2 linked regions of the Tribolium castaneum genome follow. The protein of the gene in region 1 binds, or shares a complex with, the protein of each later gene. Links are inferred from orthologs where the notes say so. Each region holds a gene or a part of one and is shown on either strand. Other genes may lie near its edges. The genes, in order: TfIIEbeta and Polr2F.

Evidence for each region.
Region 2: TfIIEbeta (region 1) and Polr2F share a complex: the UniProt entries of both Homo sapiens proteins name them as parts of the TBP-based Pol II pre-initiation complex. The link is inferred for Tribolium castaneum from reciprocal best matches to the Homo sapiens genes GTF2E2 and POLR2F.

Annotation. Positions count from the first base shown.
Region 1 is NC_087396.1:10,266,864-10,278,806, forward strand, and holds TfIIEbeta (general transcription factor IIE subunit 2), read right to left. Parts: upstream 7,601-11,943; 5' UTR 7,486-7,600; coding exon 7,424-7,485; intron 7,369-7,423; coding exon 7,267-7,368; intron 7,213-7,266; coding exon 7,050-7,212; intron 6,999-7,049; coding exon 6,798-6,998; intron 3,011-6,797; coding exon 2,663-3,010; 3' UTR 2,634-2,662; downstream 1-2,633. Other genes in the region: carboxylesterase 1E, read right to left, coding at 1,959-2,023, 2,079-2,232, 2,286-2,525. UniProt on the Homo sapiens protein: Recruits TFIIH to the initiation complex and stimulates the RNA polymerase II C-terminal domain kinase and DNA-dependent ATPase activities of TFIIH. Both TFIIH and TFIIE are required for promoter clearance by RNA polymerase.
Region 2 is NC_087398.1:1,174,665-1,184,891, reverse strand, and holds Polr2F (DNA-directed RNA polymerases I, II, and III subunit RPABC2), read right to left. Parts: upstream 1,595-10,227; coding exon 1,199-1,594; 3' UTR 1,153-1,198; downstream 1-1,152. Other genes in the region: probable ATP-dependent RNA helicase DDX23, read left to right, coding at 1-827, 923-1,140; Kua (plasmanylethanolamine desaturase 1), read right to left, coding at 3,018-3,278, 3,447-3,665, 3,709-3,920, 8,322-8,559. UniProt on the Homo sapiens protein: DNA-dependent RNA polymerase catalyzes the transcription of DNA into RNA using the four ribonucleoside triphosphates as substrates.

The sequences.
Region 1 (11,943 bases):
TAATTTATTTTTATTGTTGCTCAAATTCTATTGCGATCATGACTGTTAGACAACGTTGCCACATATCATTTATCTAAAATCCGTTATTTATCATTAACTTTAATACAAAGAATTTTTTTACTATTTTTACCTTTATATGTAACGACTTCTCTACCACACACCATTGAGTTGGTGCGCCAGTTTTTGAGCACGCTGTATAGTAACTGTACTAAAGCAATTTTTTGCACATTGACTAAAAATTGCTTAAAAATCGTTGAGTTTTTTCGAACATAGAAAAGCTTTTTTTGGCGATTTTTTTTTGAACAGAACGAAAAGGCACTAAATTAGTGAAAAATTACACGTATTACTTCTCCTTATTTTCAAGCGTTTTAGCATGATTATGTTGTTCAGCGAGAAATAATCAGAAACACAATTATTTTGCCAAATTGAATAAAAAAAATTCCGAAAAATCGAGAATTATGTAGCGAATGGTTTTATTTTTACTTTCTTGGATTTAGTTAAAATGAAACGAAAAGTTACTAAGCTATGAGTTGAAAATTTCAATATTGTTGCTTTTTTAAACGTTGTTTAACTAGAAACGCGACTATTTTGAAGAACTTTGTTTCAAAATAAGCTTAGAAGGCAATAGCTTCGTGTACAACAAAACAAAAATACTGATTTTTTTCATTTTAGACGTGAGGCAAAACCGAGACAAAATAACGTCATGAATAATGTGTGGAAAAGTGCAACTTTTCTTATTTTTTTTTAAATATGATTGATAAAATTGTAAAAACATTAGCTATTAATTGTTTGAAGTGCATAAATAATTATAACAGCTAATTTTGACAGAAAATGCGACGTTGGCGTTTTTATAATTTTGAGACAGCTAATATATCCATATTACTTCAACCAATATCACAAGATTTTGTTAAAATAAACTAAAAATCGAGCCAAAAATCGTGAAATTAGATCTGAAATATGTCATTTAAAATATTGGGGTAAACTAAAATGTAATTAAAAATTATAAAACTTTGTTAAAATATTAAACTTGATTGACAAATAAACGTAAAAGCTAAATTTGTTTCTGTTTGTTCCGAATAGCTCATCAAACTCACCAGTCATCAATTTATTTACAAAAATTCTAATATCTAATTGTAAATTCATATCTAAAGACCAGCGCATGTTCCCTTACGTGTTCAATGTTTTAATTTGTTAGATAATTTTTTTTTGATCACATGGTATTATTTATTTTTGCACTTATTTCTTTAACTACTTATGTTAATTGAACCAATTCTGAGTGATTTAACACATTTTTAAGCCAAAAACTTTCTAGGTTCAAAAAATTTAGTGAAAAAATTTAAAAAATCGCCATATGAAATACATTATTTGTCAAATAACTTAGTCAAGTGATCTAACTAGTGAATAAACTAATATTTGATTGGTTTTAATTATCTATCCCGTTTCTGCATTTGAAATATTTTACAAAAAGAAACATCCTCCAGACTAAGAAATTCTAGAAACAAGATTTGGGGATAGAAAGACTCGTGCCTGCTCAAGTAGTATAGGGACTGTACAGTAGACCAGTACCTACCCTGCGCCATCTCTTAGGTATTTGTAAAAAGTAATAACTTTCTCAATGTTGTTTTAAAAAAAACTGATAAGTAATGGTGAAATTAATAAATAAATGTTAAATTAATTAATTAATTATAATACAGGGTGTAAGCGAAGTAAGTAAATTAATTTTAACCAGTGGTAGAACTCATCAAGACAAAAACTTTTTCTATGTACCATTTCTATAAAATCGAATTTTTTAAAATCATTTTCCCTCCTATAAATTGACGAGCGTTTTATTAAGAAAAATTGTTAGTCTTGACAAGTTATATTACCAGTGAAAATTAATGTACTTATTTTATTTACAGCCTGTATATTTTAAATAGATTGTATAAAAGAAAGCAAAGATATTATTAAAAAAAACTTACACCGTACTGAGAAGCAGATCCATAGCGAAAACCTCCACCATGAATCCACACAATAACAGGGAGCCCTAAATTAAAAATCAAAGACCGTTCAAATATTTTCAGCACTGAATGAACTACTACCTTCCATTCCTGTGGGAAGACTCGGGGTAAAAACATTAAGAAATAAACAATCCTCTTTCCCTGTGACCTTATCTTCGCCAGGAACTGGCTGAACACACGGCGGCGGAAACTGCGTGGCATTTTCTAACCCTTGCAAAAAATACTGTCGCGGTCTCTAAAATTAATTTTTTCAAGTATAAAATGATTAAATGAAAATAATTTAACTACAAGAAATCTCTCTTTGCCCGTGGGGGCAAGCCCGTATCTAATGCCCCGAAAAACATAATGCGGAAAGTCCCTAATACCCAAAACTCTCGCCGTTTTTCCGCCAAATCGCGTAAACACTACAGGCTCGTCTTCAGGGGGCGGCACAGCCGGTTCCCCGCCAACAATTCTCCGAACTCTGCCACTTCGTTCATCACAATAAATTAACTTAACGGCAATTAATAACAACAGGGACAAATTCATGTCTGGGCAAAAACTTGAACGCGAATAAAAATTAGATAATCTGAAGCGACAGGAAGACAATAATTATCAAAAAACCCACGATTTTTATAATCAATTAAAACTACGAAATATTTAACATATAAATTTATTTGACTAAATTATACAGAATTCTTCTGAGTAAGTGTGTTATCTGAGTAGGTTTCAAGAACATCGGCCAAATGTTCATTATCTCGTGGTTTCTTGAACGTTTTCTTGCGCTGGCTCGTTTTGTGCCTCTTTGGAGCGATTGGCTTCTTAGGCCCATGATCCTGCATTGATCTAATTCCCTGTTTCTCTAAATATTCGTCTATTTTTGCATCGTCCATAGCGTCCACGGCCACAGAACGCCAAAGTTTTTGAAACTCTTCATCAATAGGCAAAGTGGCGGTCCTATCGTTGTAAAAGAGAACTTTTTTCTTGTCTATTGGTCGAGTTATAAAAATGATCTCGTTTTGGTTTTGGAGAATCTGGAATGAGGTCAAGAATTAAGTTGGTGTGTGCCGTTTGAACATGACATGTTGCCAACTTAAGGCACTGGCACCATAAAAAACAGCTTTAATTAAAAAACAAAACCACTTGTAAAAGGTGACATATGTTTTTATCGATTTGAAACAGATATCATCTTGCAGGAGATTTTAAAAACATTCCACAGGTATAAAACTTCGGAGGAGTAAAGACTAGGAGTAGAAACCAGATCGAGATACAAATTCACACTATTTTCTGTACCCAAAAAATCTAGCACGCTAGAGTAAAAATGAAGACGCTTCGAGCGTTAGATTGTCTTGGCGTCAATCGTTTTAAATTAATTTAAATTCAACAAATTCTCTAATTATTTGAGAAAAAAATATATTTAAAATTTAAAATATAGGTTTCGTCCCAATTTTTCAAAACGTTGCGAATTTGCTAAAAGATATAACAAAAATATTAGGAAGAAAGTTCTAGAGAATTAAATATGACTTATCCACAATCACATTATAATTGGAGTTTTATCCACACTTATGATTCTTATGGTTAAAGGGGAACATGTTTTAGTATGTTTCTAAGCCGCAAAATAACGCGGAATTTTTTTCTATTATTTTTTTAGCCATTTATTTTTTTCGAAAACTAGAAAAAGTTTTGAACCTAAAATCTTCATTAAATTTGAGGCAACGTAACACTTTTTAATTTTTTGAATTAGTTTTGAAAAATCATTAAGATTTTTATATTAAACAATATTTAAAAAACCGAAGGTAGGGCGACGAATCTCCATTTTTCGCTGATCACAAATGTATTTTTGTTTTTAAAATTCGTTAACGGAAAAGGTATCAAAACGTGAATTTTGTAAATCCTTTTGTTCCGTCATGGTGGGGTCGTGAAGAAGGCATTCCTTGGACGCAGCTGTGTATATATTAGTCACCAGCAAAATATTTTCATCCATATAGAAAAAACTTTAAGTAACTAACAAAAAAAATGTAGGTTTGCTATTTAGCAAATTTAGTTTGCTATTTTGGGAAAAGCGGTCTACCCATATTATTAAGCTTTACAAATAAGTCCTACATACAATTTTGTATATTTGATGAAAATTAGGGATCCAAAAGACTGATTTAACCCCGATATCTATAAATCATCTAGTAATGATTGGTTTTGTCTCTTTTATAATTTTTTTTACATAACTAGAATTGCTACTTTTTTCTGTATCTCAAAAACTAATAATCTTACGTAGAAATATGCGTTTGCAAAAAATGCTTTATTATTTTCTTCATGTATATGAGTTTTTTTGGATTTTTTTTTACAATTCCATAACAATAAAATTATTATTACTAATGAATTAAAAATATTAATAGTATTATTAAAATTTAAAATATGAAATGGAAACATAAATTAACCAAACTGTCATTCTAAAACAAACGATGCCCAAATGATGATTTCCATTTAAATTACGCATTTAAAAACAAACGCTAAATTCTGGTTGATTATTATGAGTAATTTCTATTTGTTTTGCCGACTTGTTCGATCCCTTTCATCTTTTTCCTAGAATGTTTCGCTTAGAGTTTCGACATATTCCGAGAAAGTCTGAGGTATTTCAAAGAATTTAATAGCACAAAAATTCGAATTCAATGTTACATGATATTATTTGCTTCTTGCTGAGCTTTCTCAATCTATCATCAGAAATCTTCATGACAAAATAATTTTTTTACCAAAAATAAATTAAAATTTGACCTATTGTTTCCAAAGTGAAAAAAAAGATTTTGTTGATGCTTCACTAAATTCAGTTCATAGAATTAACACCATAATTGTTTGTATGAATAATACTAGGATACAGAAATATCGTGTTTTACATCTTCTAGTCTTTAGTTGCTTTTGCCCTCTCTTTCTCTTGTCCCGCACTTGACTGTGGGAGATTCTCGGCGGCAAATTTTGTCAAAATGAATATTCGCGATTCGTTCAAAACTACAACAAAATTTTTCGTTTTTTGGACGCATTCTGTTCGTACCATCACTGTGCATCTTTCCCGTACACATTTTTAAAAATATTATGAATATTTGTTTAAACTTTTAATAAAAAAATATCAAATAATTTTTTTTCAAAGTCTTACGTTGTCTCAAATTATAATTATTTAAAAGAGTCAATTCCATTTTTCGATTTAAAATTGGATTACAAATATCGCCAAAAGTAGAAAAATAAATTTCATTACTACTTGTCTTTGCCACACACTTGGTTTAACTCTGTCGTCCCCTTTAGCCTTATAGTGACCTATTATCCACTAGTGGAATAAACTAGGAATTATGACTACCAGACAAAGCCTGCCAAGATTAATTTTACGATTGTGGATAAAACATTGTATTGCATTCATGTTTTAGTCGCATTTTATCCACTTGAGAATATTAAACATTCTTGCGTGGATAAAATGCTTTCGAAAACACTTATACAATAAATAGCTATTAAAAAATCTGCGAAACCAAGGGCCGTATGAATACAATTGAGTAAATGCTTTTACTTCAAATTTTGCAAGTAAATGTTCTAAATTGTATGAGTAAAAATGTAAGTATAAGTTTTTACTAAAAGTAAAAGCACACTGGGCGAGTATTTGCTTGAACGTCGAGGTTTTACTCAAAACAAAATGAATAAAACAAAGTAAATGCTTTTTTCGTTGAGGATTTAGTTCAAAATTGTTGACGCTAATCAGTAGGAGCATCAATTTTTAAAAGTAACACCTCAAACTCGAAACAATGGTGGGTGTTGTGCAACTATGGGTAAGAAAAACTTATAAACAACCTCGCGAACACATAGGATAAGATTTTAAGACTTTATATCGGTTTGAACGAAAAAATCTTCGTGCTTTGGCTAGGTATTTTTTGAGTGAGAACAACGAAATGGGAGGAGATGGAAATCCATTTTAAAAATTACAACATTGAAAACTTCACTACAATGATTTATTTTGAGAGCAGATTCTCCAAAAAACTAAAGAAGTAAAAGCAAGAGCAAATGCTTTTCCTTTATACTCATACTTTAAGTAAATACTTCAACTTTATTCATACGACCCCATATCTACATCTTCAACTATTTAGGCCCCAAAAATGTTTAAAAATGCTCACACAGCGGTTTCGTTTCATTTTATGGTCAAGTATTGGAAAATTAATTTATACCTAAACCAATGAAGATGTGGCGGACTTTTTTGTAGGAAATTTAATTCTCTACATCTATGCTTCTTACACATCTTTAGTTGAATTCGCAGCGTTTTCATATATATAAATATGCGATTTTTTGACACTGTTTTCAATAAAGTGTTTCCACTATCTTAATCTCTGACTCTTTCTGTATTAAGTTTTTAATTTAAATTAAAAGTGCAAAAAAATATAAACATTTATTATCAATTTGCAATCCGCGTTATAATTTTTAAAACATAGCGAATACGTTTAAAGGTATAAAGAAGTGTGAAGAACAAAGTTGTAAAGAAAAATAGTCGCGGACTTTTTTGTAGAAAATTGATTTTTCTACTACTTTGTTCCTAACATTTTTCTTGTATCTTTAACCAAATTAACAGCGTTTTAAAAATATGGGTCACACTGCAAATTAATATGTTTGAAATTTTTGCATTATTTTTAGTTGTTACTCTTGAAAATTTAATGCTCTATGTGCCTGTATTTTTTTGAATTGTGTTAATAGTTATTTAAATAGTCAACTGGGCTTTTTGGCGACATTACCGAAAATATTGAAGTCGGAGACGTTTTATTTGTACGTCGTTCGTTTAGAAAATAACTAAAAGAATGATACCTTCAAAGCCTTTTCGCAGTGTGGTAACGACTCTTGCACGTCGTCTAACAACACACCGCCTAACCCTTTCAAATCTTGTTGTTTCAATAGTTTCAGTAAGCTTTTCCTGTCTTTAAGTTTATATGGAGCTTTGAATAAAAATTTTCCGTCAGGAGTGACCTCAATTTTAGGATTATCGACTAACGCTTCGGTTTGCAGCCACTTAAATCAACACCATTACATTTAAGTATTGTAATAATGACACAAAATTACTTGCTTGACTTTATTCCCTACGTCTAATTGATTAGTTTCGTCTAAAATTTCCTCTAATGTGAGTGGATATGTTTCACCTTCTTGGTGTCTCTTCCTCATATGTTTCACGATTTTAGCGAGAACACCGAATCGATATTGCGAACTTCCTGTTGCTGTTTTGTATCTAAAAAAAAATCACAAAGTAATTGATTCAAATTTGCAATGTTTTGCTGCTTACGTGTTGATATCAAGTTTAGGGGTGCTACTACTAGAAGACTTAAACCTTTTGCTATCATCGCGAGTTGGTTCTGGTCTTGAATCAGTCTTTTTTCTTTCTACACTGAAAGTAGAACAAAATTAACTGAATAAGTTGACAAAATGCGAATGCTACTTACGTAGGAGTTGTAAGTGCACGTTTTTTGAATAATTCTCTTTCTTTTAGTAAGGCGGGGTCCATTTTATTGGAGAAATAATAAATAAATAATACGAACTATGTTGTTTGAGGAATAATCATCTGTTTTCTTTTGCATTTGACATTCACGGCTGTCAAAGTGACAAGTGGTGGGGGACCGATGCCTTGCGCTGTCTGTCTTTTGTGGCCGACTGTTCCTTGAACCGAATTTTATATATTTTTTTGCAATATTATTATTTAATTAATTACTAATTATAGAAATATGTAGTAATAATCGTTGTTAATTAACTCTAGTTTTTAATCGGATGTGATGCCAACTACTAGCTTGCTGTGTGGAGGTTTTTTGGTTTTTGTTTTACAATGCAAGCTGTCTCAAAATTTGCGAATTTCGAGTTCAGAGCATTGTAAAGATAGTAAAGAATCGCTTCAGTAGTCCAAATGTAGAAACCAAATGAAGATTCGGGGCTTCCCCATTACTTTGGTTTGAAGATCACTTTCTCTTTGCACTGCGTTTTCTTCAAATACGGACTAAAAGTTTAAGTGTTTATTCTTATTTATGGTGAAGATGATTGTTGAGAATAATAATGTAAAACGATTGTCGATTTCTTAAAAAATAGCTTTATTTTGGTGTAAAAAAATTAAGTTTTTGTAATTTGTTGTTACATTTTTAAGAAAAATTAAACAAGTTGAATGAATAAAATATTTTTTCTAAAAAAATTACACAATTTTTTAATTAGTTTTAAATTATTATTTTCTACAATCATCTAAGAACACCATAAATAACAATAAACACTAAAATTTTTAGCCCGCGTTTGAAGAAAACGCAATTCAAAGTAAATCTTCATTTTGTGTCTTCTCATACATTTAAGCTACGGAACTCTACAACGCTCTGAACTCGGAATAATTCGCCAATTTTGAGACAATTTTGTCCCAGCTAAGACTACCTGGGGCAGTGCGTAATTTGGGGGTGGCAATTGCCATCCAAAATTGTTCAGCTCAACATTATTTGTAATATGGAAGAATGAAAAAACAAAATTATCCAAGAAAGAGCCGACATTTTTGTTGAAGGGCTATGAAAAGTATGTTCCCTCTACTTTTTGACCTTTATATGTTTATTTTTTGCGATTCCAATAAACACAACATCTTGTGAGAGGTCTTTTTCTCGCTTGCGGCGGTTGAAAACGAACACTAGGAAGATTGGCCAAGAAAGGTTGTCTTCATTATCTCTTTTGGCTATCGAAAGAAGTGTTAATGTTGACATTTTCAAGGTAATTGATATCTTTGATACGAACCTTCACTTCACTTTGCTTAAAAAATAACTTATAATAATAACTAAAATTTGAATAAACCTTTGTTTTTTTTTATGTTTGTTTCATTTACATGAAAAAGATCACGAATTAAAAATTGGTCTACAGTAGGCCCATTTAAGAGTATCTCTTAAGTTGCGTCTAACTACCTAACATTACACATTACCTAATTAACAGTGAATCTTTAAAAAACAAAAAGATTCATAGGTACATAGCTACAGGTATTTCAGCAGTTTTAATTTCCGTTAATTTTTCTGCGATACGCGAAGAAGGTACATTTTTATATTTCATTTAGTATTTTCTTCAAATTTCAAAAGATATTTTTTTAAAACAACTCGTTAAATGTTGAGTTAAATTATGAACGTCTTTTGAGCCAATTTCTTAATCTTCTAGGTTGCTTTTTAATCCAGAAATTTTCATTTCCATTTTTGAATTTTACCGATACAATAAGCAAAAAATAGTTGCCGAGATAGGCCAGAACGATGTATTTCATTTAGGTTTTTTATTTACTTGTCTGTTTATTAAATATTTAGCGTTTTACCTCCTGAGTCAGATATTATATTCTTTGTTGGAAAAAAAACACAAAAAATCGCGCCGAATTTAGTCTAAATATACAGATAAAATTCAGATAGAATAAAAAGCCTGACGATCTGGCGATGCAACCCAAAAAACAGATTTCATTTCCGTCTTGATCTAATTTTAATTACAGATTGCATTTGCAATCCAAGTTATCTAATGTTGCTCTGTCAGTGCTTGACAAGCTTTGACATCGGTCGGTGCTGGACATTATTGTCACATTGTACCATGCGTTGCTCTTGCTGCAATGAATTTGTTTACCCAACGTTTCCCGAATAGACAAAATCCTAGTGGCATGATTTTTAAACGTCCTGAGAGGAAACTTGAAATTGGCTTCTTTGTAAAAGAAGAAAACACAGAGCTAGGTCTTTGGAAAATAAAGTTCGTGTAATAGCTTACAAATACAGAACCAACAGGCATCAGCCAGACTTCAGTTTGTTGTGTTCTATGTGAAAATAAATTTCGTTCCTATCATGTGCAGGTAGTATACAAGAACTTAGGAAAACTGAATTTGAACACAAATTAGAGTTTTGTCTCTTTATCAGAACACAAATGCAAGTTGGTAACAACTTTATTCAGAAAATTTAATTCAGTTATGAAGCCCAATTTTCTGCCATTGCTATGCTCAGAAAAATCCACTGTGGATAAGTGAAACACATTTCCAATGGTTTTGGTGAACGTTTAGTATGGCATCTCGCATCTTCGTAAAATACATAATCGAGCCTTTCTTCTTCCAAGAAAAACAAGCAGGAGACAAACGTTTTGAACACATTTTTCGCTAAAAGTAATTTTTTTGTCTCTTGTTTGTTGTTGTAATTTATGATTTCGAAAAAACTGTTTACCTATACCTTTAATAATGTTTCATTCTCTCATTCATTTTTTATTGGAGTTTACACCGAAAAGGCTTTTCTACTTTTTCTTTCATTCCGCGAGAACTGAATGACACTAATGATCGTTCTCTGCGCTAATGTCAGAGTGACATAAGATGATAGATAACTTGCGATTCAACTTGCAAATCGTAATTGAAATCGGATCAAAGCCGTAAATGAAATTTGTTTTTTGGGTTGCATCGGCAGATCTTCAGGCTCTTTATATCTGAATCAGCCTGTACGTTGTAACAATTTTATGCATTTTTAAACGACATTATGTGAGTGGTTTTTTATTATTTTATTTTGTCTAATTGAAGGATCTAGTTCTAAAGTGTACAATGACTACAATGTCTAAGTTTTTCAGGAAACGAGAAACATTCCTCGTCTTTTAAAAAACTTACTCTCGGAGGCTTCAGGGTACCGAAGCGATTGTTGAGAATTGGTGTACTACAAGTTGCATACTTTTTTTAGACCTGTTTTCAGTGACGGCTGTCAATCATCGGATAGGCATCCGACCTTCGCCTCGGGGTGTCTTGTCCCTTCTCATAAAATGCAAATAATGTAAACAAACTGAATTCCACTATCGCCCACGATAGTTTCTCTTATTTCAGAGATTCAAGCAACATACAGTGAAAAATACGTTTTTTATTTTGTTAAAAAAATTTGATACTAAAGAATAATAAAATACTAGCATAGTTTTGTTCCTTGTTTGAGTTGTTCATGCAGGCATTAAAACGAGTTGCAAATTTATCTTCAAGTCTATTGTATGATGTCGATAATAATTCTGTTGAGTCATTTAATGCAGTAGTTAACAAACTTGTTGGGGGTAAAAGAATAAATTTTTCAGAACGCGGTTCTTATCATGGAAGATGCTTTGCGGCAGTCGTAAATGTAAATAACAAAAACAAATTTGTATTTAAAATTATGGAGAAAATATCAGGGAATAGTGGCATTTACACCACAAAATTTTCAAATCGCTTATTAAAAACCAAAGAACTTCATGCTACAAAATTAAATAAAAGAAAAATTCGTATTCAAAGTGCAGATTCGGATTATGGTGCGACTAATGACATAATAGACATGCCAACAGAAACATATGACAAAATAAAAAATGAGTTCTTGAATGATTTGGCTGCTTGCGATATTTTAAAAATTCCTTTGTTAACAATTGGTCAACGTAATAATGAGCAGTGGGATAAAGAAAGAAATAATAGATTAACGGCTAGTAATTTCGGAAGAATTATTAATATGAAATGTACGACCAATACAGCGAATGCTGTAAAAGATATCTTGTATCGTGTGGGATTATCTAAATTTAAAAAATTACCCGAACCACTACAGTGGGGAATTGATAATGAAGAGAAAGCAAAGGAGAAGTTTGAACAGATCGTAGGTATAAAGGTAGATTCATGCGGCTTTTTTGTTGATAAAGAAAAAATTTTTTTAGGTGCAACACCAGATGGGTTAGTGGGTTCAAATGCTATTGTTGAAATTAAATGTCCATTTAGCGCAAGAAACACAAATATTAAAACTGCCATAGAACAAAAATTGATTAAATACTTAGAAATAGATTCTCAAGATGATAGTAAAATAGTTTTAAAAGAAAAAGATAATTACATGTATCAAGTACAAGGTCAGCTCCACATTACTAATCGCCAAACTTGTTATTTTATAGTGTACACCTCTACAGATTTAAAATATTGTATTATTGAGAAAGACGATAGTAAATATTGGAACGGAAGAATGCTAGA
Region 2 (10,227 bases), on another chromosome or scaffold:
TGCCATTATTTTAGCCCCCACGCGTGAATTGGCCCAACAGATCGAGGAGGAGACGGTGAAGTTTGGCCAACCGTTGGGGATCCGCACTGTGGTGGTTGTGGGCGGTTTAAGTCGCGAGGAGCAAGGTTTTAGGCTGCGAATGGGGTGCGAGATTGTTATTGCAACCCCGGGACGACTTATTGATGTTTTGGAAAATCGCTACTTGGTCCTGAACCAGTGCACGTACATTGTTATGGACGAAGCCGATCGCATGATTGATTTGGGATTTGAGGCAGATGTGCAAAAAATTTTGGAGTACATGCCGGTCACTAACTTGAAACCGGACTCGGAAGAAGCGGAAGATAGTAAAATAATTTTGGCGAATTACAACAGTAAGAAGAAATATCGGCAAACGGTGATGTTTACGGCAACTATGCCACCGGCGGTTGAGCGACTGGCGAGGACGTATTTGAGACGTCCGGCGGTTGTGTACATTGGTTCGATCGGGAAACCGACGGAACGGGTCGAACAAATTGTGCATATTATGACTGAGAACGATAAGAGGAAGAAGTTGATGGAGTATTTGTCCAAAGGGGTCGATCCACCGATTATTATTTTTGTTAATCAGAAGAAAGGGGCCGATGTTTTGGCCAAAGGGTTGGAGAAGTTGGGCTACAATGCGTGTACGCTCCATGGGGGTAAGGGGCAGGAGCAGAGAGAGTACGCACTGGCTAGTCTCAAGTCGGGGGCTAAGGACATTTTGGTGGCCACTGACGTGGCTGGGAGAGGGATTGATATTAAGGATGTTTCCGTTGTTATTAATTACGACATGGCCAAGACTATTGAAGGTAAGATAAGTTTGTCCCAGATTTTTTTTCTTTATGACTAGTGCAAACTGAAGAAAAAAGGAAATCTAATCTGTAATTTGTTTATTTTTTTTCAGATTACACCCATCGTATTGGCCGAACCGGCCGTGCCGGGAAGAGCGGGGTGGCTATCAGTTTTTGCACCAACGACGACTCGGCCCTATTTTACGATTTGAAGCAAATGTTGCTATCGTCACCTGTCTCAACGTGCCCCCCTGAACTAATGAACCACCCTGAATGCCAGATTCGGCCCAATCAGCCGAAACGCCGCCGCGACGAAATGATTTTCGCTTAATTAAAATAAAACTCGATGTTTACTTAGCCTTTATTCTTAAAAACAAAATCTTATTACACTAGTGGTCAATTATTATGAGTTCGTCTATGCCCCAATCCTCGTACGAGTGGTCGGGTAAATAACGCCGGATTATGATGGGGATTTTCCGTTGTTTGAGTTCTTTCATTGCGATTTGAAGCGGGTCTGTCTCTCCGTCTAGTTCCACCATAACTGGGGCACACATGGCGATTTGCAAAGCTCTTGTTCCCAAAACACGAGCTCTTTCGTATTTGGTCATGTATTTGGTTGTTATGCGTTTGTTTTTGGGCACTCCGCCCCCGGCTTGGCCATGAGCGAGGATGTCGATGTTGTCGCCTTCCTCCTCGGGCTGCTCCAGCTCCTCGATGTTGTCGTCATCGACGTCGTCGTCGAAGTCGTCCCCCACGTCATCACCGTCGAATTCTTCGTCATTCATTCTCGATTTCTAGCTAATTGACTAATTTAAAGGCATACACAAACATAGCACAACGTTCAGATGTCAAATGCGTCAAACGTCAAAAGTATTGGTTATTGGAGAGTTGCACGAAAGTGCATCAGTCCGAAACTTGTTATCGGTTCAAACAATACTTTTACTTTAGTGTATTGTTGGTTGCGTCGCAGTTGCGATAAAAACTTTTTTTGATGAAATTTTGATTGTTACGATTTTTTTAAGTTTAGTTAACAATTTGGTGCGAAAAAAATAAAACACATTAAATTCAAGCAACTTTATTGTATAAAATAATTGCATTTGTTCCAGACTTTATAAAATACCGTCTTGTCTATTATAGTGGCGGTCAGCTCGATTTGCGTGTGCGTCAATTTCATTTTTTCATTACCAACACAAAGCTATAAAAATTGTCAAAAACAATGCAAATTTAAACAGCTAAGGGCTATCTAAGGGTGGTATCCTTGAACATTAATTGACATTGACAGTAAATTATAGACGTCGTCGCATCGTTGTCGAAAGTGTGTGTTATCGGTGTTAATCGTAAGTATTTTCTGTTCGTTTATTGTGTTTTGTGATTTGCGTTTCGTTAGGTTTTTGATTCTGCGTTTATTAGTTCTTGTTTTGTGAATCTGTATTTTTTGTAACAACTTCGTAACCTCAAAAAATATTTGATAGTTTGTCACCGCTATGCCCCTGCTGTGTAAACGTAGTGAGAGAAATGTCAGATGACGCACACGCAAATGGAGCTGAGCGCACCATTGCAGTTTTGTCTAGAAATGGTAAAAATAACTGCGATTTATTGCGATGTTTAAATCACAGTGTTTGTCTAGTTAACAAACCATTTTTTGTGGTAGTTTCTAGCGTACGACTGCTTATTGATTAATTGAATAAAACGCAGACGGAGCTCGTCATAAAGCTCAAATAATTAAATAATTGCAAACAAGTTGAGAATTAAAAACCTTAGCCTAGTCATAAGTCGTACAAATTACCCTACTGGGTGTTAAGCGTGTTTGTAATGATAATGATTCATAAAGTACCTAAATCAGGCACTCTAACTACTTTGGTAGTGCGTGTAGATTATCCCTGGAGTGTTTAAGACTAGCTTCAATAAATCTAAAATTGATCAAATCATTAGGCTAAATTGTAAGAACTATTAAACATTTAAAAAATTGGCCCAAGGCCCATCGCTTGGTCCCCAATGGTTAACATGATTTTGTAACAATAAAAGTACATTACATTCGTTGTCCAATCTTAAAATCAGGCACTTGATTATGTATTTATTGAATCGAACAAAACGTGGTGTTCTCTATCACCAATAAATCGCTAAATCAACTAAATGAACTTTTGGCAATTATTCCACAGACACGTAGAACTAACAAAACAAACCCCATTCATAACAAAGACAAAAATATCACGTGCCCTTTTGCGCCCACTTCATATCATCAGCCCGCGGTTTGTAGCCCGTGGTGTGTTCAATCAGCAGCTCTAGGATGCTCCAAAAGCGCAGCTTCTCCAACGGCCAATTGAGCCACCCGGTGGTGATGCAAAAGTAGGTCTCATGCGGGGCCACATGGTGGATGCGGTGGTGGCGCCTCGGCAGAATCACATGGTGCTCCTGCAGCCACACCACCCACGCCGGCAGCCCGAAGTAGGTGTGCGACCACTTGTGTATCTGGAAAGTGGCTCCAATCAGCAAATGAACTCAGATTTATCGGGCGCGTTACCCCAGGTGTGCGTGTTTGCCACGGGCCCTATCATTTTATAAAGTATTATATCGCGAGCTGATCTAAAAGCGCACACACGACCCGAGGAATTAATTCGAATCAATAATTAACTCTACCTGATTGGTCATTGCCACGAAAATCGCCAACAGAAACACGTAGCAATTCCACGTGAACTTCCTCTCGACCCCGTCCGCAGGCAGCGTCAGAAAATCCCAAACCATCCTCGCCAGAAACGGAATGGTCACCATGAAGTTATCACCGTTGGTTTCGATAAAGTCGTGGCGGGTGATGGACGTCGGATCGATGTGGTGTTCGCGGAACGGCCGCAAAAAATTCTACACAAAATTTAAAATATCAAACATTTCGCTCTCCACTCACTTTGCCCAAGATGGGGAGCTCCACCGAGCCCCACGTGTCGGCCGCCCAGTGCACGAGTCCCGAGCCGAAATCCGCCGTCACAATGCCGCAAAACGCCGCCACCAAAATCGTGCTCAAGTTGTCCATACGGACGTGGAATATTATGAAGAAGAAGTTGACCACCATAAGGGTCAAGCAGATTCCCACGCAGATGCATTCCTGAGTCCGCTTCCCTGCAAAAAGGGAGCGGTGTGACTCGGCTAATTACACTTGGGCCCAGTATTAGTGTAAACTAGGAGGAATATTAAAAATAATCGAGTTTAATGGGTCATCGGAATAATATGAAATGTCATCAATGCATAATAAACGAACTTGTGCTAAGTAATATCGACGACAAGATCGATTCTTCCTAAATAAGCACCTATCAGAATAAAACACACTGTCGATTAGACAAACACATCAATAAAACACGAATTAAAGTGGCATTTTTTACGTTTTAACGCTCACTATAGCGTGAAACTACAATGATTCATTTTCGCGAGATATTATGTCATCGAGAGGTGGTTTCCTTTTTTGTACCTTGACGTAATTTCGTAACGGATTTATTACCACTCGAGTGATAATTTAATTTTGCCAAAAACTTACGAATGATAACACGTTTCTGTTCTAAATCCGAATATTTAAACACATTTCTTGAACATGTTACGACTTATTTTATGTAAATTTAGTTAAAGGTGAAGTAGCTTCGTACGTACAGATTGACACGTATCTGCATGATGCTTTGTGTCGTTGCAAATCTTTTATTGTATTGTAATTACACGTAACCGCAAGCTAAGTTAAGCAAAAAGGTTAATCTAAAGCAAACGTTAGTGATGATAACAAGGCCTCACTTTTCAGCATTAATTCCTCTATGGAGACATAATTTAAATTTTCTCATACAACATGTATGAATGTAAAAAACACGACAACTAACTGTACATAACTATATATAACTATTTTTCGTAAAACTGAAATAATTTAATACAACTGCCAACTTCAGCAAAACCTATTACGGTAATCCACAAGGGAAATCTTATTTAATTATAGATTAGCTGGACACAACCGTCAGCAAAAAACAAGTTTTGTGGTAGAAAATTTCAGAATTTATTCTTTTTTAATCATTTCTTACAAAATTTTGGTTTTTGAAAAAAATTAACACCTGTATTTGTGCAGTGACTAATTTTGTGCTACAGATGTTGCTATTTACGGAAAAAACGGAAAGTTAATTACTTAAAATACGATTATTTTTACACACTTGGCATTTTTCATGGTGATTATAGTCGACTGAAATTATCTAGCAGATTAATCACCCTCTAATGACGTATTAAAACACGCCTTTATTTTGCAAACCTTGGTAGTAAAATTTTATTGTACCACTTGAACATAGAATTGAAAAAACCACCACTTGTTTTAGTTCTAATTCTATTTAAGGAAACAATCCCAAATGATTGTTATCAAGGAATGAGTTTCAGTTCAATTATTTTTCCAAATGCGTTGCGATTAAAGGTAATTTGTTAAATTATAGCGATTCTTTTATTTTATTTTGTTAGGATTCTTTAATGAGAAAAATTCTCCACGAACTTGTTACGTTAATAGGGACTAAAGCCAGGTATTAGGGATAATAATACAACCCGGAAGCGCATCAAAAATAGCCAAATTTTTAAATCGGGGAATAAATCATTTTATTGACAATAATCACGTTTTAGTAATTTTGATGTGGGCTGTTGTTTAAGAAAACGTCAGTGTAATAATTTTGATGACCTGTCGAAAGAATGCTAACATCTGCCAAATATTAGCGAATAAAATGTCACTTAACAATTCCAGAAATAGTTCGTTTTTGCGCAATTTTACGTGCTCTAAATAAATAAACATCACATCACTGCAGTGACAAATTGTGTAAAAACTTTTAAGTTTTTTTCACCGATCGATCCTTTGCAAACGCCATTCTCACTCAATATTAGTTCAATTCCAACGTTATTTGTCTCACAACCAGCACATGTGCAATAACATTCTTTCATTAAAGCGTTAATAGATCTAGGACATGAAAGAATTTGAACTATTTTTTAATCTAAAACAAGCAAAATATCGCCATACCAACCGTATCTAAAACACGTAATTATACCTTAATTACGCCAAATTCTCATTAAAAAACAAAAGACAGACGAAAGATAAACCTAGACAAGCACGTGTATTTAAATAAATTTTTCTCACGCTGTAGATAATTATGCAAGAATAATATGATTGCCTTTTTTACGAAACATCATTGATAAAAGTAGGGACAATAAAGATAAACTCATTGTCCATATTGGCAAAAATTAATATCGGATTTAATTATTTGCAAGACATTTAATTAAAAATTCGTTTAAATAAAAAACAAGTCTGGTGTTAAGCATTTGTTGCACTAAACTTTTCCAAATCAATAGATTGGTTAATGTAGTATTGAAGCGGAACTACTTTCACCAAAAATCATAATAGACGCTCTTTTGCACACCGCTTAAAAATAAAATGAGCCAGTGAAACGAAAAACATGTTTTTCTCCGCAAAACTTGGACACAATCTTAGTGTGTAGTTTGGAAAAGTCAACATTTAGTAATTACTGCATCAATAACACACGAGATAACGCGTCTTAGATAATATTCCGGAATCAAGGTGATGCTAAATATGAAAAATCCGTTACAAACTGTTGTATTAAATCAGTAAATATTGGCTCGTATGACGTGTAAGCACATGACATGTGATTAAAATTTATCCTCTCTATTTTCATTGTGAACTGCTTCGTGTCGGTTTTCGCTTTCCTTCAACACTTATTGTTTCCAGTGCGATGCAGAAAAAGTGGACGTCACTTAATATAATTTAAATTTTTCTCTGATGATGATATTTGAATATGTTATTAGTGCCGCCTCTTCGAAATCTATAAAAAGTCGACTGAACTAAATTTAGAAAGCCTCGAGCTTTACGCTTAATTATTGTTCGAGACACAATACTGTTCTCGTGTTTGTATTTGAGTAAAATGTGGGTCAGGTCAGCGAAAAGGTTGAAGATCAATCAGACGAAAGCACAATCAGATAAGAGGCAACTGGACTGGACGTGGCGTAGGTGTGGTGGCTCAACAAAAGCGACGGTTCTTCGTGATTAGGCCAAGTGCAAGGAAAGGTCGTTAAACCGCATTTAAATTCAGGTGCGGGACAACAAACATAATTTGCCATAAAGATGCCAGAGGTAAAACTACGGATTACTATAGCTTAGGACACGAAACGACGTACTAATAGAACGTCCCTGTTTTCGATAGTTTAATTTAATTCTCCACAACTTTTTTCTCAACATTTTTCTTGTATCTTTGACCGTAATCGCAGCGTTTGGCCATTTTGTAGAGGGGGGTGTTAATTTTTTTAATTTTTTTTATTTTCTCAATTACGACTAAACTGTTTGAAAAAGTGGAACTGTTTTAATTCACACCTATGCAAAATGATCCGGGGAATCGATTGGCATCGAAAAAATTGCCAAATTCCCAATAGTTTTTTAGTTATGAATTTTTTAAAATTTTACCAATTTTTGCATTTATCTGCAATTTGCTCAAAAACTATTAGTCGGAGAACAATATTTTTTTTTGAAAAAAATAGATAATTCAAAGAGCTTTCCAACGATAATAAACTTCATGGGGTTATCTCTGATAGTTCCGGAGCTATTGCTCAACAAATGTTCCGGGTACCCAAAATCGACAAAAATTGCGACGAAAATTGAAAAAATCAAACATCAAAAAATCGAACATATGGACTTTTTTTGGACTTTTAACAACTCTAGAGAGTTGTAAAGGCATATATAAATACGAAAAAGTATGATAAAACGAATTTAAAAAAAAAATTTTTTTTTTCATTTTCTTGCAGGCATGTGTATTACACAGGAAATTTTAGCAAAAAAAAATAAAAATTTTAAATCTCATGAAAAGCTCGTATAATACAGAAAATGAGCCGCTGAATTCAATGGAACAAACCGCATTGCTCTACGACTTTTAGTTTTTGAGTTATGAATTTAAAACTATTTGGCGTCCTCATTTTACTCTGCTGTGTGTCAATTTTTTGGAAAGTACAGAATATTGTTTCTCTTAATCTAGTCCTCCGTATGATAGATTCGCTGAAATTCGCTTTGACCGTTGTTTTTTCTAACATTGTTGAGAAAATATCAATCAAAATAAAAGTACTGTTATCGCATTTTCTAAATTATTAGAAATCAACAACGACTTCGTTCAGATTTGTTATCAGATATTTCCCCACAAATCTCTAGTGAGTGAAATGATTGTTATAATACGATAGGTAAAGCGACATTTTTAGAATGACAATCATTTTACATTATTTCAAATTTTTGAATCTAGGAGGTTTAAACGTCAAATTGAGGAAACAAACACACCACCAAAAATAATTGGACAGGTGTCATTCTCATTTTAATAAATCATCACGAGTGAAACCCCCATGTGTACGCCACTGCATTTTGGTCTCCATTGAGACGTCGTGGCCTACAGTTAAATATAGTCGGGGGCCGCGTTGTCGCCAAACCTTATGTCATCACCGTGGAATTTCATTGATTCGCGCGTCGCGTACCCTTGCTGTAGAGATTGGCCAGCTCCTGAGCCCCCTTGTGCTGGGGTCCCCACCGGGGGCGCGTCTTCTCCTCCTGGGTGACGGCGCAGTTGGCGTTGGGGTCGTCCTCCAGCATCGAGTTCTCCAAAATTTGGCGCTCGGTCTTGACGGGCGCCAGGATCTTGGTGGCCATGATGTCCAGGTGCTGTTCGGAGAGCACCTCCTTCACGCGCTTCGAGCAGCTGAGCGGCAACGCCATCCCCGTAGCTACGAACCCTCGGAGGTGTCACAACCAGACGCGATCACAGACTGGTCGTTCACTGGCATGGTGTTCGTCGCTAGGCACCGGCGACACCACACGAACGCGACGCTCGATCACAACTGAACCGACCCACCGCTCGAGGGCGGAGCACTAGGTCGAAGGCATGCGTCACCGGGACGTGGTGGTGGACGCTCACACCGGCGCCAAAGTGTCTTCCGAAAACGTTTAACGGCTATCTTCAATGAGTGGTCGAAGTGGAACGGGCGGAATTTAGGCAAGAAAACTGAGGTTTCTAACAGATTTTTTGTTATGAATTTTTTAAAATTTCACCAATTTTTGCATTTATCTGCAATTTGCTCAAAAACTATTAGTCGGAGAACAATATTTTTTTTTTGAAGAAAATAGATAATTCAAAGAGCTTTCCAACGATAATAAACTTCATGGGGTTATCTCTGATAGTTCCGGAGCTATTGCTCGAGAAATGTTCCGGGTACCCAAAACCGACAAAAACTGCGACGAAAATTGAACATATGGACTTTTTGTGGACTTTTAACAACTTTTGTGGGTTGTTAAGACATATGGAAATCCATAAATATTGAATAGACTGTATGTAATTCACCCTCTTTCTCCTTTTTTTTCCCACTTTTTTTTTTGTTACCGATTTAGAGCAATTTTTTAGGTTCGCATTACATTTTAAACATGTAACCGCGCCATTTTTTTAATTTAGTTACCGGATTAGCGTTATTTTTAGGTTAGAAATTGTTTTTTAAACACGTGCCCGCGCCATTTTTTTTATTTATTTACCGAACAAGTGCACGTGTCCGCGCCATTTTTAAATTTTATTACCGATTTAGTGCGATTTTTTAGGTTGGCATTACTTTTTAAACACGTGTCCGCGCCAGTTTTTTTAATTTAGTTACCGGATTAGCGTGATTTTTAGGTTAGAAATTGTTTTTTAAACACGTGTCCGCGCCATTTGCTTTATTTATTTACCGATCAAGTGCACGTGTCCGCGCCATTTTTAAATTTTGTTACCGATTAAGTGCCCGCGCCATTTTAAATTTTGTTACCGATTTAGTGCGATTTTTTAGGTTGGCATTACTTTTTAAACACGTGTCCGCGCCATTTTTTTAAATTTAGTTACCGGATTAGCGTGATTTTTAGGTTAGAAATTGTTTTTTTAAACACGTGTCCGCGCCATTTGTTTTATTTATTTTCCGATGAAGTGCACGTGTCCGCGCCATTTTTAAATTTTGTTACCGATTAAGTGCCCGCGCCATTTTAAATTTTGTTACCGATTTAGTGCGATTTTTTAGGTTGGCATTACTTTTTAAACACGGGTCCGCGCCATTTTTTTAATTTAGTTACCGGATTAGCGTGATTTTTAGGTTTGAAATTGTTTTTTAAACACGTGTCCGCACCATTTTTAAATTTTTTAACCAATTTTGTGCAATTTTTTAGGTTGGCATTACTTTTTAAACACGTAACCGCGCCATTTTTTTATTTATTTACCGATTAAGTGCACGTGTCCGCGCCATTTTTAAAATTTTGTTACCGATTTAGTGCGATTTTTTAGGTTGGCATTTTAATTATGTTTTAGCTTTAAACTTGTCCAAAATTGCTTAAAAGGTGACAAATATATTTATCTACAAATCGACAAATTAA